Linked DNA regions of Macaca fascicularis. The protein of the gene in region 1 binds, or shares a complex with, the protein of each later gene. Links are inferred from orthologs where the notes say so. Each region holds a gene or a part of one and is shown on either strand. Other genes may lie near its edges.

Region 1 (3,646 bases):
ACAGAGAGCCCCTCAGGACACGCTCAGCCAGGCGCCAGACTAGGGGGAAGCTCACGGGAAGCCACAAGCCCCCATCGACTCAGTGAGGGCTCGGGACACCCACGGCAGCACACACTGAAGGCCATGCCCGGGGCCACGTCCTCCCACGCCAGCCAGACGCCTCCGAGAGCCCTCTACTTGCAGGGCACCTGGACACCTGGTCCTACAGTCAACCCTAGGAACGCACAGTCCAGTGGTCAACCCCCAGGGTGACTGTCCCACCATCAGCACCAGGGAACCTGGTCCCATGATCAACCCCCAGCCTGCCTGTCCAGTGGCCGCCACCCAGGATGGGGTGCAAGGCTGCATCTGGGGCCACATGAACTCATGCTCCCTCCACACAGGATGCCTGTCCCTCTGGTACAGCCACTGGGTAGCCCAGGTCTGGCCCCAGGCAGGACCCTCAGGCAGAAAGAGCCGCATCCCTTCCAATGGAGCGGGCAGGGGAGGCTGCTCAGGGCAGCTCAGCCAAGGAGCAGAACCAGCTCCCGTGAGCCCACCAGCTCCCTGACACCTCTGCCCTTTGGCATTTTCTCCCAAAACCACCCATGGGGGAGTGGGGGGCTGGAGTGGCCACACCTGGACCTGGGCATCTGCGGCTGACGGCCTAGTGCTCTATGGTCGCTGGGCCCGAGGGTGCTCCGGGGCTGGTACCCTGACCCCAGGCCGCAGGCCCAGCCGAGCACAGAAGAGGCACAGTACCCTGTCCAGGGAGGAGGGGCCTCCGAGGCCCCTCAGGCAGAACATCAGCTCCAGCCGTGACAAGGAGCGACTAGGGGACCACCACGTCTGTCTGCTCCTTCCTGTCACCCCAATTAAATTCTTCCCAAAACACTGGTCAAATGACCACGTTGGGTCACACACCATTCACTATGTGCAATGTCTAAGTAGGGCACATTGTGTATTAACTCGTTCCCACAAGGAAAGCCCTGACTCTCCCCCAGATACAGGAGGAAACGGCCCCAGCCCCACGTCGGGGTCCCCAGCCCAGAGGCCGTGTTACCTCTGATGAGGTCTGCTGCCAGCTTCCTCTGCAGACATCCTGATTTGGGGCATGGGGTGTGAGAAGCCCCCCAGGGACTCGAGTGTGCAGAGGAGCCGGGGAAGCCCTGACCTTGTGACTAAAGAGTCCTCACCGAGCCCTCCAGTCAGCCTGGGTGGGACACAGAGAAGCTAATATCATGGCCTGGGCTCAGCCAGGCTGATGTCTCCCAGCCCAGCACTCCAGTCCCTCACTGACGCAAATCCAGCTTGAATCTGCCACAATCCCTCACACTCTTATCAGCTGAACACTGCAGACAAAATCTCGCAGCCATTCAAACGCAGCCACCTAGAAGTTAGCTCATGATGGACGTCTCCTACCCCAGGTGCTCCCCACACAGGTGCTCCCCACAGTGAGTCACCAAGAGGGTGGGATTTTATCCTCTCGTGACCTAAATCCAGCAGATTAAAGATTCATGCAGACCAGCATGAATTAAAAGACAATCGGGGACCAGTCACAGTGGCTCAGCCTATAAACCAAGCATTCTGGGAGGCCAAGGTGGGTGGATCACCTGAGGTCAGGAGTTCGAGACCAGCCTGGCCAACATGGCAAAAGCCCATCTCTACTAAAAATACAAAAATTAGCCAGGCGTGGTGGCAGGTGCCTGTAATCCCAGCTACTTAGGAGGCTGAGGCTGGAGAATCGCTTAAACCCGGGAGGTGGAAGTTGCAGTGAGTGAAGATTATGGCACTGCACTCTAGCCTGGGCAACAGAGCAAGTCTCCATCTCAAAAAACAAAAAAAAAAAAAAAAGAGAAAGAATCGGATCCACATCCCGAGGAGGGGCAAGGAGGCTGGTGGTAGTGTTTCCATCCAATATAAACTGCTTCTGCTTTACAGACCCCAGAGACCACTTGGCATAAACTCCTGATTTCACAAGTAACAGAAAGTGAGCTCCGGGCAATCAGAGCCCAGCACAGAATCCACTCGGGACAGGCCTGTGACGGGGGCCCTGGCTCCCAGCCCAGAGCCACACAGCCAGGGAAGCACCGGCGCCGGGACGACAGGCGCACGCTGAGGCCGGGGCTGGTGCTGCAGGACTTCGAGAAGCAGGGGACCAGCGTGGGGTTACACTACCTGATTCCAATGCTTTGCAACTTGCTCCAGACACTCTTCCGGTAGAAAAAGAGCCTGTTCTTCTGAAACGTGGTCTCCGTGACATAAAAAAAAGACCTGAGCAGCTCGACCACATACACACTCATCAGCCAGTGCAGGAACTTGGCCAGGATCTCCTCCCGCAGGCGGTGCTCTGCGGCCGGCACACAGCCCACCCCTGAAACGAGAAGGACACCGCACATCCAGCTCACCGCAGGGCTGGCGACCTCATCGCAGACCTGCACCATCTGGTACGACAGCCATGGCCACGGGGAGCCCAGCAGGTCCAGGCTGAGATGGCCGCACACGGGACCCACACGGGATCCCGCAGATCAAGCACAAAAAATGTCACATGTCCTGTGAGTGACGCTCCCACCAATGACACCCTAAATGATGAGTTGTGGACGTGCTGGGCTTCAGTAAAATTATTATTACGTTAATTTCACCTTTTCTTTTTTACTTTTTTAATGTGGCTGCTAGAATTTTTTTTTCTTTTTCTCTATTTTTTTTTTTTTTTTTTTTGAGACAGTCTCCCTCTGTTGCCAGGCTGGAGTGCAGTGGCGCAATGTCAGCTCACTGCAACTTCCAACTCCCCGGTTCAAGCGATTCTCCTACCTCAGCCTCCCAGGTGGCTGGGATTACAGGCACCCACCACCATGCCCGGCTAATTTTTGTGTTTTTAGTAGAGATGGGGTTTCACCATGTTGGCCAGGTTGGTCTCGATCTCCTGACCTTGTGATCCATCCGCCTGGGCCTTCCAAAGTGCTGGGATTACGGGCGTGAGCCACCGCGCCCAGCCTAGACATTTAAAAATGATCCACGTGGCTCATGTCATGCTCCTGTTGGATGACAATGGCTCGAAGCCTCATCCTTTGTCCTGGTCCCTAAGCAGAAGGGAGGAGGCAGACACTTCCCCGCCAGGCAGCACATCGGGGCTGGCACCAGACCGTAGGTTTGTGTGATTTCAAACTCGTCACCACGGAGCCCAGATCCCAACGTGCCTGGGGTTTTCCAGGCTGAACCCAGGCCGAGCGGACGCTGCTGTCACCCACTGGCTAAGGAACGCCGGCCACGTGGTGCTCCAGACACTCACGGGCCAAGATGATCGCCCTTCTCGTGAGTCTCCACATCTTCATCTGTGCATAAGCAGAGGTCCCCGGACGTCACTAGAAGCCATGGAGGCCACAGTGCAGGTAAAGCTGGGGTTTACCAGCAATAACAAGACAGAAGAACCAGGCAAAGGACAAGGAAGGGGACCCCAGAAGGCAGGCCTGAGACAGAAGACAGACGGGGAACAGAGGAGGAAAAGCAGGGCAGGGACAAAGCTAAAGAAACACGGAACACGGAAAACAATATTAATAATGGTTACCTTGTGGGTGTGTCAAGATACCCAAGATAGAACTAAGTCAGCAGGGAAAATAGCACATAGGCTGGGGGTGGTGACCAGAGTTAAAATATACTTAAGGCTCTT
Region 2 (4,248 bases), on another chromosome or scaffold:
ACCCTTTAGGCCGGCTCAAGGTTCCCCAAAGCTCCACTTCTCTGCCTAGGCGTTCAACTTTGAGTTCGGATGGTCCTAACATCCCCACCATCTACACCCAGGTCTCCCAACAATGCAACTCCTATGTTGATCCCTCTAGCCAAGCTTCCATCCCACTCACCCCCAAACTCGCTAAGTCCCCACTGCCCCACCCCCAGCCCCAGCGATTCTCCCGAGCTGAAAATACACGGAGCCGATAGCCCGTGACTCAGAGAGGACTCATCAAGTTCAGTCAGGAGCTTACCCAATCCTCAGGGAAGCGTGTCACCGTCTTGGAAAGCACGCTCCCAGCCCGGACGCCAAGTGTTCCCGGAGCCCCGCAGCTACCTGCTGCCTGGATGGTGGCTCTAGACTTTTGAGAAGCTCAAAACTTTTAGCGCCAGTCGAGCACATGGGAGGGGAAAACCCCAATCCCATCAACCCCTGCGAGGTTCCTGGCACAAAGCTGGACAGTCGCCATGACAAGTAAGGGCAAGTAATCCGCCCGCTGGAGGAAGCAAAGGAAATGGAATTGGGGAGGAGGGTGCAGAGAGAGTCAGGATTCTTGCCGAACTGGTGCCGTAGATACTAACATTTTGGGGTGGAAAATTCTACAAGCCAGAGCTGTGAGGGCAGAATTGGTGGAAACCATTTTGGAGGAATCCTGCGCTGTGTCAAATATGAAGGGTGGAGGGAAGAAAGCTTTTGCGTTTGCTCTCAGCTGGATCCTTTCTTCTCAACAGCTAAAATGTCATTTTTTAGGAAGGCTTTCCTTAATATCTCACGCTAACGTTTTCTCCCACATACTTTGTATCACACCATCTTGTTTAATCTTCACAATACTTATCACTCTGAAAATATTTGTTAATTGCTTTCAGTACATGGAAACGTAAGCTTTATGAGGATATAGAATTTTTCTACTATCTTATTTATTGTTGTATTCCTCAGTGCCTATATCAGTCCTGGGTAGCAAGTAAGAGCTCGATAATAAATACTTTTTGAATGAAGGAAGAGAGAAAGGTCTGGAGCCTGGAGAACGAGATGAAAAGAGGTACAAGACCTGCAGCGCCCTCTGCAGGCGGCGGGGGATGGTGCAGGTGCTTTAAGAATTACCGCGGGACTCGGTAGGGGGAGCGCAGGCGCTTCTCCCCAAGATAGAAGAGTTTAGACTACAACTCCCAGCAGCCACGAGAAGCCCTAGGGCTTGATGGGAACGGGAAACCTTATAACCTTTCACGTCCCGGCTCCGCGGGTTCCGTGGGTCGCCCGCGAAATCTGATCCGGGATGCAGCGGCCCAATCGGAAGGTGGGCCCAAATCCCGCGACAGCAAGAGGCTCGTAGCGACCTGCGGTGCTAAGGAACGCAGTGCTTTCAAAATTGGCGTCCGCTGTTCGCCTCTCCTCCCGGGAGTCTTCTACCTCCTCCCAGAAGAGGAAGGAAGCACAGGTGGGTTTCATTAGCTCTGCATCGGATCCCTGAGAACTTCGAAGCCATCCTGGCTGAGGCTAATGTCCGCTGTGCTTCCTCTGCAGTATGAAGACTTTGGAGACTCAACCGTTAGCTCCGGACTGCTGTCCCTCAGACCAGGATCCAGCTCCGGCCCATCCTTCTCCCCACGCTTCCCCGATGGATAAAAATGCGGACCCTGAACTGATGCCACCGCCTCTCGAAAGGGAGGATCCGCCCCGGTTGTCCCCAGATCCTGTGGCTGGCTCAGCTGTGTCCCAGGAGCTAGGGGAGGGGGACCCAGTTTCTCTCTCCACTCCCCTGGAAACAGAGTTTGGTGCTCCTAGTGAGTTGAGTCCTCAAATCGAGGAGCAAGAACTTTCTGAAAATACGAGACTTCCTGCAGAAGAAGCAAACGGGAGCCTTTCTGAAGAAGAAGCGAACAGGCCAGAGTTGGGGTCTGAAGAAGCCATGGAAGATGCCTCTGGGGAACCCGCTGCAGAGGACGAGGGAGACACGTAAGTGGTGATGGCAGTGGAGTGTGGAGTCTGGGGAGATGAAGTGTGAGATCGACCTGTCCTCTGGTCCTCAGAACCACTTCTCTAGGCCCCTGCCTCCGTTGCTTGGCGACCCAGGTTTGTTGTCCCCCATCTTCCTTTCAGTGCTTGGAACTACAGCTTCTCCCAGCTGCCTCGATTTCTCAGTGGTTCCTGGTCAGAGTTTAGCACCCAACCTGAGAACTTCTTGAAAGGCTGTAAGTGGTAAGGATAACAACGGGGCAGGGAGCTGACCACCCCCAAGATTTTCACCGTAGAACAGTCCGGTTATCTAGGAGAGGGATGCCCCAGAGCTGGGAGAAGGAGCACGTAGCCCTTTTAGACTGAACTTACATTTTATCTAGCAGTGTGTGTCTTCTCCTTCCCTCAAGGATTCAGGGGGGCTTACCTACCCCAGAGGTAGGCTCAGCCCTAGACCTACACTTGAAAAGCATAGGTCTGGCCAGCTTTGTAACTCTTTCCTGTTTCTAGGGCTCCTGATGGTTCCTGCATCTTGACCAATAGTGCTGATAACATCTTGCGAATTTATAACCTGCCCCCAGAGCTGTACCACGAGGGGGAGCAGGTGGAATATGCAGAAATGGTAAGGACTGGGGCTAACTCGGCCTCTTCCTCAGTGCTGCACATTTAAGTCCTTCATGGAGATGGAGAAAGTGTAGTCCAAGTGCTTCCTGTTCACAAACGGGACTGTTTTTCAAGATGTTTCCACGTCTAGCGTTTTCTGCCCTGAATTCTGAAGTTATTTAGAGAGACGTTTCCCCTTTCTTTAATTAGGAATCTGTGTTTTTCGCTAAAAAGTAGTGAATTTCTTGTGGCAGTATATATGTATTTATATTTATTATTTTTTTGAGACAGGGTCTTGCTCTGAAACCCAGGCTGGAGTGCCGTAGTGCGATCTCAGCTCACCGCAACCTCTGCCTTCTGGGTTCAAGCGATTCTCCTGCCTCAGTCCCCGGAGTAGCTGGTACTTCAGGTGCATGCCATCACACTCGACTCATTTTTGTATTTTTAGTAGAGATGGGGTTTCGCCATGTTGGGCAGGCTGATATCAAATTCCTGACCTCAGATGATCCGCCCACCTTGGCCTCCCAAAGTGTGGGGATTACAGGCGTGAGTCACCGTGCCCGGCCTATAGATATTTATTGATTGACTACTGATACATGTTAGTCACCGTGCTGGGATAAAGTGGTGGACAAGACAGATGAAAGGCTGGTTTGCTTTCTCTGTGGGAGATAGACAACAAATACGTAAACCAGCAGGCATCAGGACCAAGATGATAATAAATGCTCTGAAGGAAATACACAGAATGAAGAGAGACTAACTAGAGGAAAGCACATTGCATAAAATGGTCAGGAAGGAGCTCTCTGACAAGGAGGCATTTCAACTAAGACCTGAAGGAGGATAAGGGGTCAGTCAAGTGAACACTTCCGGAAAGAGCTTTCCAGAAACTGGCAATGATAGTATAAACACCCAGAACTGGGAAATAGCTTTGTGTATTAAAAGACCAGAAAGGCCTGGCACGGTGGCTCACACCTGTAATCCCAGCTACTTGGGAGGCCAAGGTGGGCAGATCACTTGAGGCCAGAAGTTCAAGACTAGCCTGGCCAATATGGTGAAACCCCATCTCTACTAAAAATACAAAAATTAGCTGCATGTAGTGGCACATGCCTGTAATCCCAGCTACTCGTGTGGCTGAGGCAGGAGAATCTCTTAAACTCGGGAGAGGTGGAGGCTGCAGTCAGACAAGACTGTACCACTGCACTTCAGCCTGGGCGACAGAGTGAGACTCCATCTCAAAAAACAACAAAACAGACCAGGCTCGGTGGGTCACACCTGTAATCCCGGCACTTTGGGAAGCTGAGGCAGGCAGATCACCTGAGGTCAGGAGTTCGAGACCAGGCTGGCCAACATGGCAAAAACCCGTCTCTACAAAAATACAAAAATTTGCTGGATGTGATGATGGGTGCCTGTAATCCCAGCTACTTGAGAGACTGAGGCAGGAGAATCACTTGAACCCGAGAGGTGGAGGTTGCAGTGAGCCGAGATCATGCCATTGCACTCCATCTCAAAACAAACAAACAAACAAACACAAAATAAAAAACCCAGAATGCTAGTATAGCCAGACTGAGGCAAGTGAGGGAGATAGCGGGGCGAGGACAGAGAAGAGCAGCCACGTTGTGTTGGGTCTTATGGGTAAGGCATTTGGAGTTTATTTGGGAAGTCATG
Region 3 (3,432 bases), on another chromosome or scaffold:
TCAAGGTGGGATTGTAATCTCAAGGTGGGATTACAATCCCAGCACTTTGGGAGGCTGAGGCAGGAGAATTGCTTGAACCTGGGAGACGGAGGTTGTAGTCATCCACCACTGCATTCCAGCCTGGACAACAGAGTGAGACTGTCTTAAAAAAAAAAAAAAGCCCACCACTAAATCAATGAGTTCAAAGATAAGTTAATAAGGAGAAAAATCAGACTAAACAGGTTAAGTAACTTTCTCAAAGTTATACAAAAAGGAAATATTGGTCTTCTTTCAATTCACTGCCTTCTCTCTATAATATACCTATTACTTTTTCAAGTACTCTTCCATTTTTAATCAAAATGTTATTTCAAGGGATGAGAAATTACGTGACAACAGGGGTATTTTTCAGTGAATGCTGACAGCTGTGAAAGTCTTAATCTTTCTTCCCCAATACCCTCCTACCACTAACAGCACATGACCACTCTTGCTACAGGACTGAAGTTTTTCTTCCAAGTCGTATTGTTGCAACTCTCTGGAGTACTCTCGTCCATCATCTCCCTCCCTTTAAAACAATACTACCAATCCTTTCCTCCAACAACACAAAATAAGAGCTTTTCAAATCATTTTATCTTTAATAATCTGGTAGTAACTTAAAATACGAAAAAAAAAGTCAAACGTGTTCCCTTTATGGGTGATGCCACCATGACTGCCTCACACAAGCATGCTCAATCACCAGGATGAGATTGGATGCCACAGAGTATGGCTGGCAAAAAGGCATCAGGGCTCACAGACTGAGGAGTTTGGTTACGGAGTCTCCGAGGGGTAACAGGCCGCAGAATAGACATCAGTTTAAGGGGCCTTCAGAGGACAGGGCGCGGTTGCTGGGTCATGAGCACCTTGAAGCGTTTCTTGATGGTGATTCGGTGTCGAGAGTATTTGTCATCTGGGGAGAACCGAGCAGGATGGGCTGAGCAGGTCTGTTGTCCCATCGGGTCAAATTTCTGCTCCGGGAATAGAGAATGAATGTCAGTACAGGAGTGATGGGGTGGGGACAGCGCGAAAAAGGGCAAACATGAAAACAGAAGATGCAATGATCAGCTCAAAAAGTTGTACAAATAAATAGAGAAATACAAAACTTAAAAAGGCTGGGCGCGGTGGCTCACGCCTGTAATCCCAGCACTTTGGGAGGCCGAGGCAGGAGGATGGCTTGAGGTCAGAAGTTTGAGACCAGCCTGGGCAATATGGCGAAACCTCGTCTCTACAACAAACAAACAAAACCAACCAACCAAACAAAAAAACCCTAAACCAAAAATTAGCCAGGTGTGGTGGCGCACGCCTGTAGTCCCAGCTACTCGGGAGGCTGAGGCAGGAAGATTGTTTGAGCCCAGGAGGCGGAGGTTGCAGTGAGCCGAGGCACTACAGCCTAGGCAACAAAGCGAGTCCCTGTCTTAAAAAAAAAAAAAAAAAGAAAAAAAAGAAAAGTGAGTGCAATGGCGCTATCCGGGTTTACTGCAAGCTCCCCCTCCCGGGTTTAAGCGATTCTCCTGTCTCAGCCTCCCAGGTAGCTGGGAAAACAGGCGCACGCCGCCACGCCCGGCTAATTTTTTGTATTTTAGTAGAAACGTAGTTTCACCGTGTTGCCCAGAATAGTCTCTAACTCCTGAGCTAAGGTAATCCACACGCCTCGGCCTCCCAAAGTGCTAGGATTACAGGCGTGAGCCACTGCGCCCGGCCAATTTTTTTTTTTAAATAAAAAACTCGTCGCGCGCTCCCGGTTCTCCCCCACCTCGGTTCTGGACTTTCTGGTTCCCTCCACCCAGCTAGGTAACTCCGTGTATGGCCTCACCCATTCCTCCCATCTACATTTCTCGCCATGCCTATTTACAACCTGTTTTCTCTCCTCACCTTCAGCGTATAGACCCGATCTCCCTCCTCGTTGAGGTAATACTGGAGAAACATGACTGCTCGTAAGCCAGAGGTCCCAATTCGCTCCGCTGCTCCGTCTGCAGGGGTCCGCCCGACCGCGTCACGTGTTCGTCAATTTCCTTCCTGCATAGCCGGAAGTCTCTCTCCTGGCACGCCGGAAAATGTAGTCAATTTTTGCCTTATTTTCAGCTAGCCAGAAGGGGGCGCACGAGGGCAGGGCTTGGCTTGGGGGGCCACACTTGCAACTTTGCAGGCTAAAACACGTGGAGTGTGCCTACTGTGTGCTAGGTACACGGCGCTAGAGGGGGGTAGGGATGGATGTGGATAGAACATTGACGTATAGAAGCTTGTCTTTATCTCAAGATACATACCCATTTCAGGAGCAGTGAGTTTCCAGTGCCTGAAGAAACAAGGGCTCCAGGATTCAGAGCCCCTTTGCCCTAGGGAAGAAGGAAGAGGTTTTCTTCCCTCCCCTCTTTTACATCCAGTTTCCCTGCTCCATTTCAAAACGTTGGCGGTAAAGAATGCATGTTGAGTATCAATATTCCGTAAAGCGAAAATAGCGTAAAGTTATTTTATGAAACGAAGTATGTTTCAGCGGTCGAACCAAGATTTAAACTTAGGTCCCTACCGCAAATTCAGCGCTCTTTCTTACAGTGGTGAGTAGCTAATAATAGCGTAATAAAGTGCACCTTCTAGGAGATTTTACAATTTTTTAAAGAATATAGAAGTTCTCCTTATTCGTTTAAAGAAATGAAAATGAGAACCAAAATATAATTACAAAGATCATCATTACGCCTTATTTATAATGACAAAAGCGTTGGCATATATGTTGTGTAACCAGAAAAACCTGCAAGGTTTTTTTTTTTTTAGAATATGGTTTGGCCGGGCGCGTTGGCTCACGCCTGTAATCTCAACACTTTGGGAAGCTGAGGCGGGCGGATCACAAGGTCAAGAGTTCGAGACCAGCCTGGCCAATCTGGCGAAACCCCGTCTCTACTAAAAATACAGAAAAAATTAGCTGAGTGTGGTGGTGGGCGCCTGTAGTCCCAGCCACTTCAGAGGCTGAGGCAGGAGAGTCATTTGAGCCGGGAAGGCAGAGGTTGCAGCGAGCTGAGATAGCGCCACTGCACACCAGCCTGGGTGACAGAGTGGCACTCCGTCTGAAAAAAAGAATATGGTTTGTGACCGGGTGCAGTAGCTCAGGCCTGTAATCCCAGCACTTTGAGAGGCCGAGACAGGTGGATCACAAGGTCAGGAGTTCAAGACCAGCCTGGCCAATATGGTGAAACCCCGTCTTTACTAATAAAAATACAAAAATTAGCGGGACGTGCTGGCGGTCACCTGTAGTCCCAGCTACTCGGGAGGCTGAGGCAGGAGAATCGCTTGAACCCGGGAGGCGGAGGTTGCAGTGAGCTGAGATCACGCCACTGGTCTCCAGCTTGGGTGACAGAGCAAGAGACCCTGTCCCAAAAAAAAAAAAAAAAGATATGGTTTGTATTTACTTGTAGTTGAATAAAAAATCTC

Evidence for each region.
Region 2: TERT (region 1) and WRAP53 share a complex: the UniProt entries of both Homo sapiens proteins name them as parts of the telomerase holoenzyme complex. The link is inferred for Macaca fascicularis from reciprocal best matches to the Homo sapiens genes TERT and WRAP53.
Region 3: TERT (region 1) and NOP10 share a complex: the UniProt entries of both Homo sapiens proteins name them as parts of the telomerase holoenzyme complex. The link is inferred for Macaca fascicularis from reciprocal best matches to the Homo sapiens genes TERT and NOP10.

Annotation. Positions count from the first base shown.
Region 1 is NC_088380.1:1,630,517-1,634,162, forward strand, and holds part of TERT (telomerase reverse transcriptase), read right to left. Parts: intron 2,354-3,646; coding exon 2,158-2,353; intron 1-2,157. UniProt on the Homo sapiens protein: Telomerase is a ribonucleoprotein enzyme essential for the replication of chromosome termini in most eukaryotes. Active in progenitor and cancer cells. Inactive, or very low activity, in normal somatic cells.
Region 2 is NC_088390.1:7,739,885-7,744,132, forward strand, and holds the start of WRAP53 (telomerase Cajal body protein 1), read left to right. Parts: upstream 1-1,356; 5' UTR 1,357-1,465; intron 1,466-1,551; 5' UTR 1,552-1,552; coding exon 1,553-1,983; intron 1,984-2,127; coding exon 2,128-2,226; intron 2,227-2,493; coding exon 2,494-2,605; intron 2,606-2,877; coding exon of another isoform or gene 2,878-3,168; exon of another isoform or gene 3,169-3,233; intron 3,234-4,248. UniProt on the Homo sapiens protein: RNA chaperone that plays a key role in telomere maintenance and RNA localization to Cajal bodies. Specifically recognizes and binds the Cajal body box (CAB box) present in both small Cajal body RNAs (scaRNAs) and telomerase RNA template component (TERC).
Region 3 is NC_088381.1:10,628,617-10,632,048, forward strand, and holds NOP10 (H/ACA ribonucleoprotein complex subunit 3), read right to left. Parts: upstream 2,019-3,432; 5' UTR 1,939-2,018; coding exon 1,885-1,938; intron 981-1,884; coding exon 840-980; 3' UTR 592-839; downstream 1-591. UniProt on the Homo sapiens protein: Required for ribosome biogenesis and telomere maintenance. Part of the H/ACA small nucleolar ribonucleoprotein (H/ACA snoRNP) complex, which catalyzes pseudouridylation of rRNA.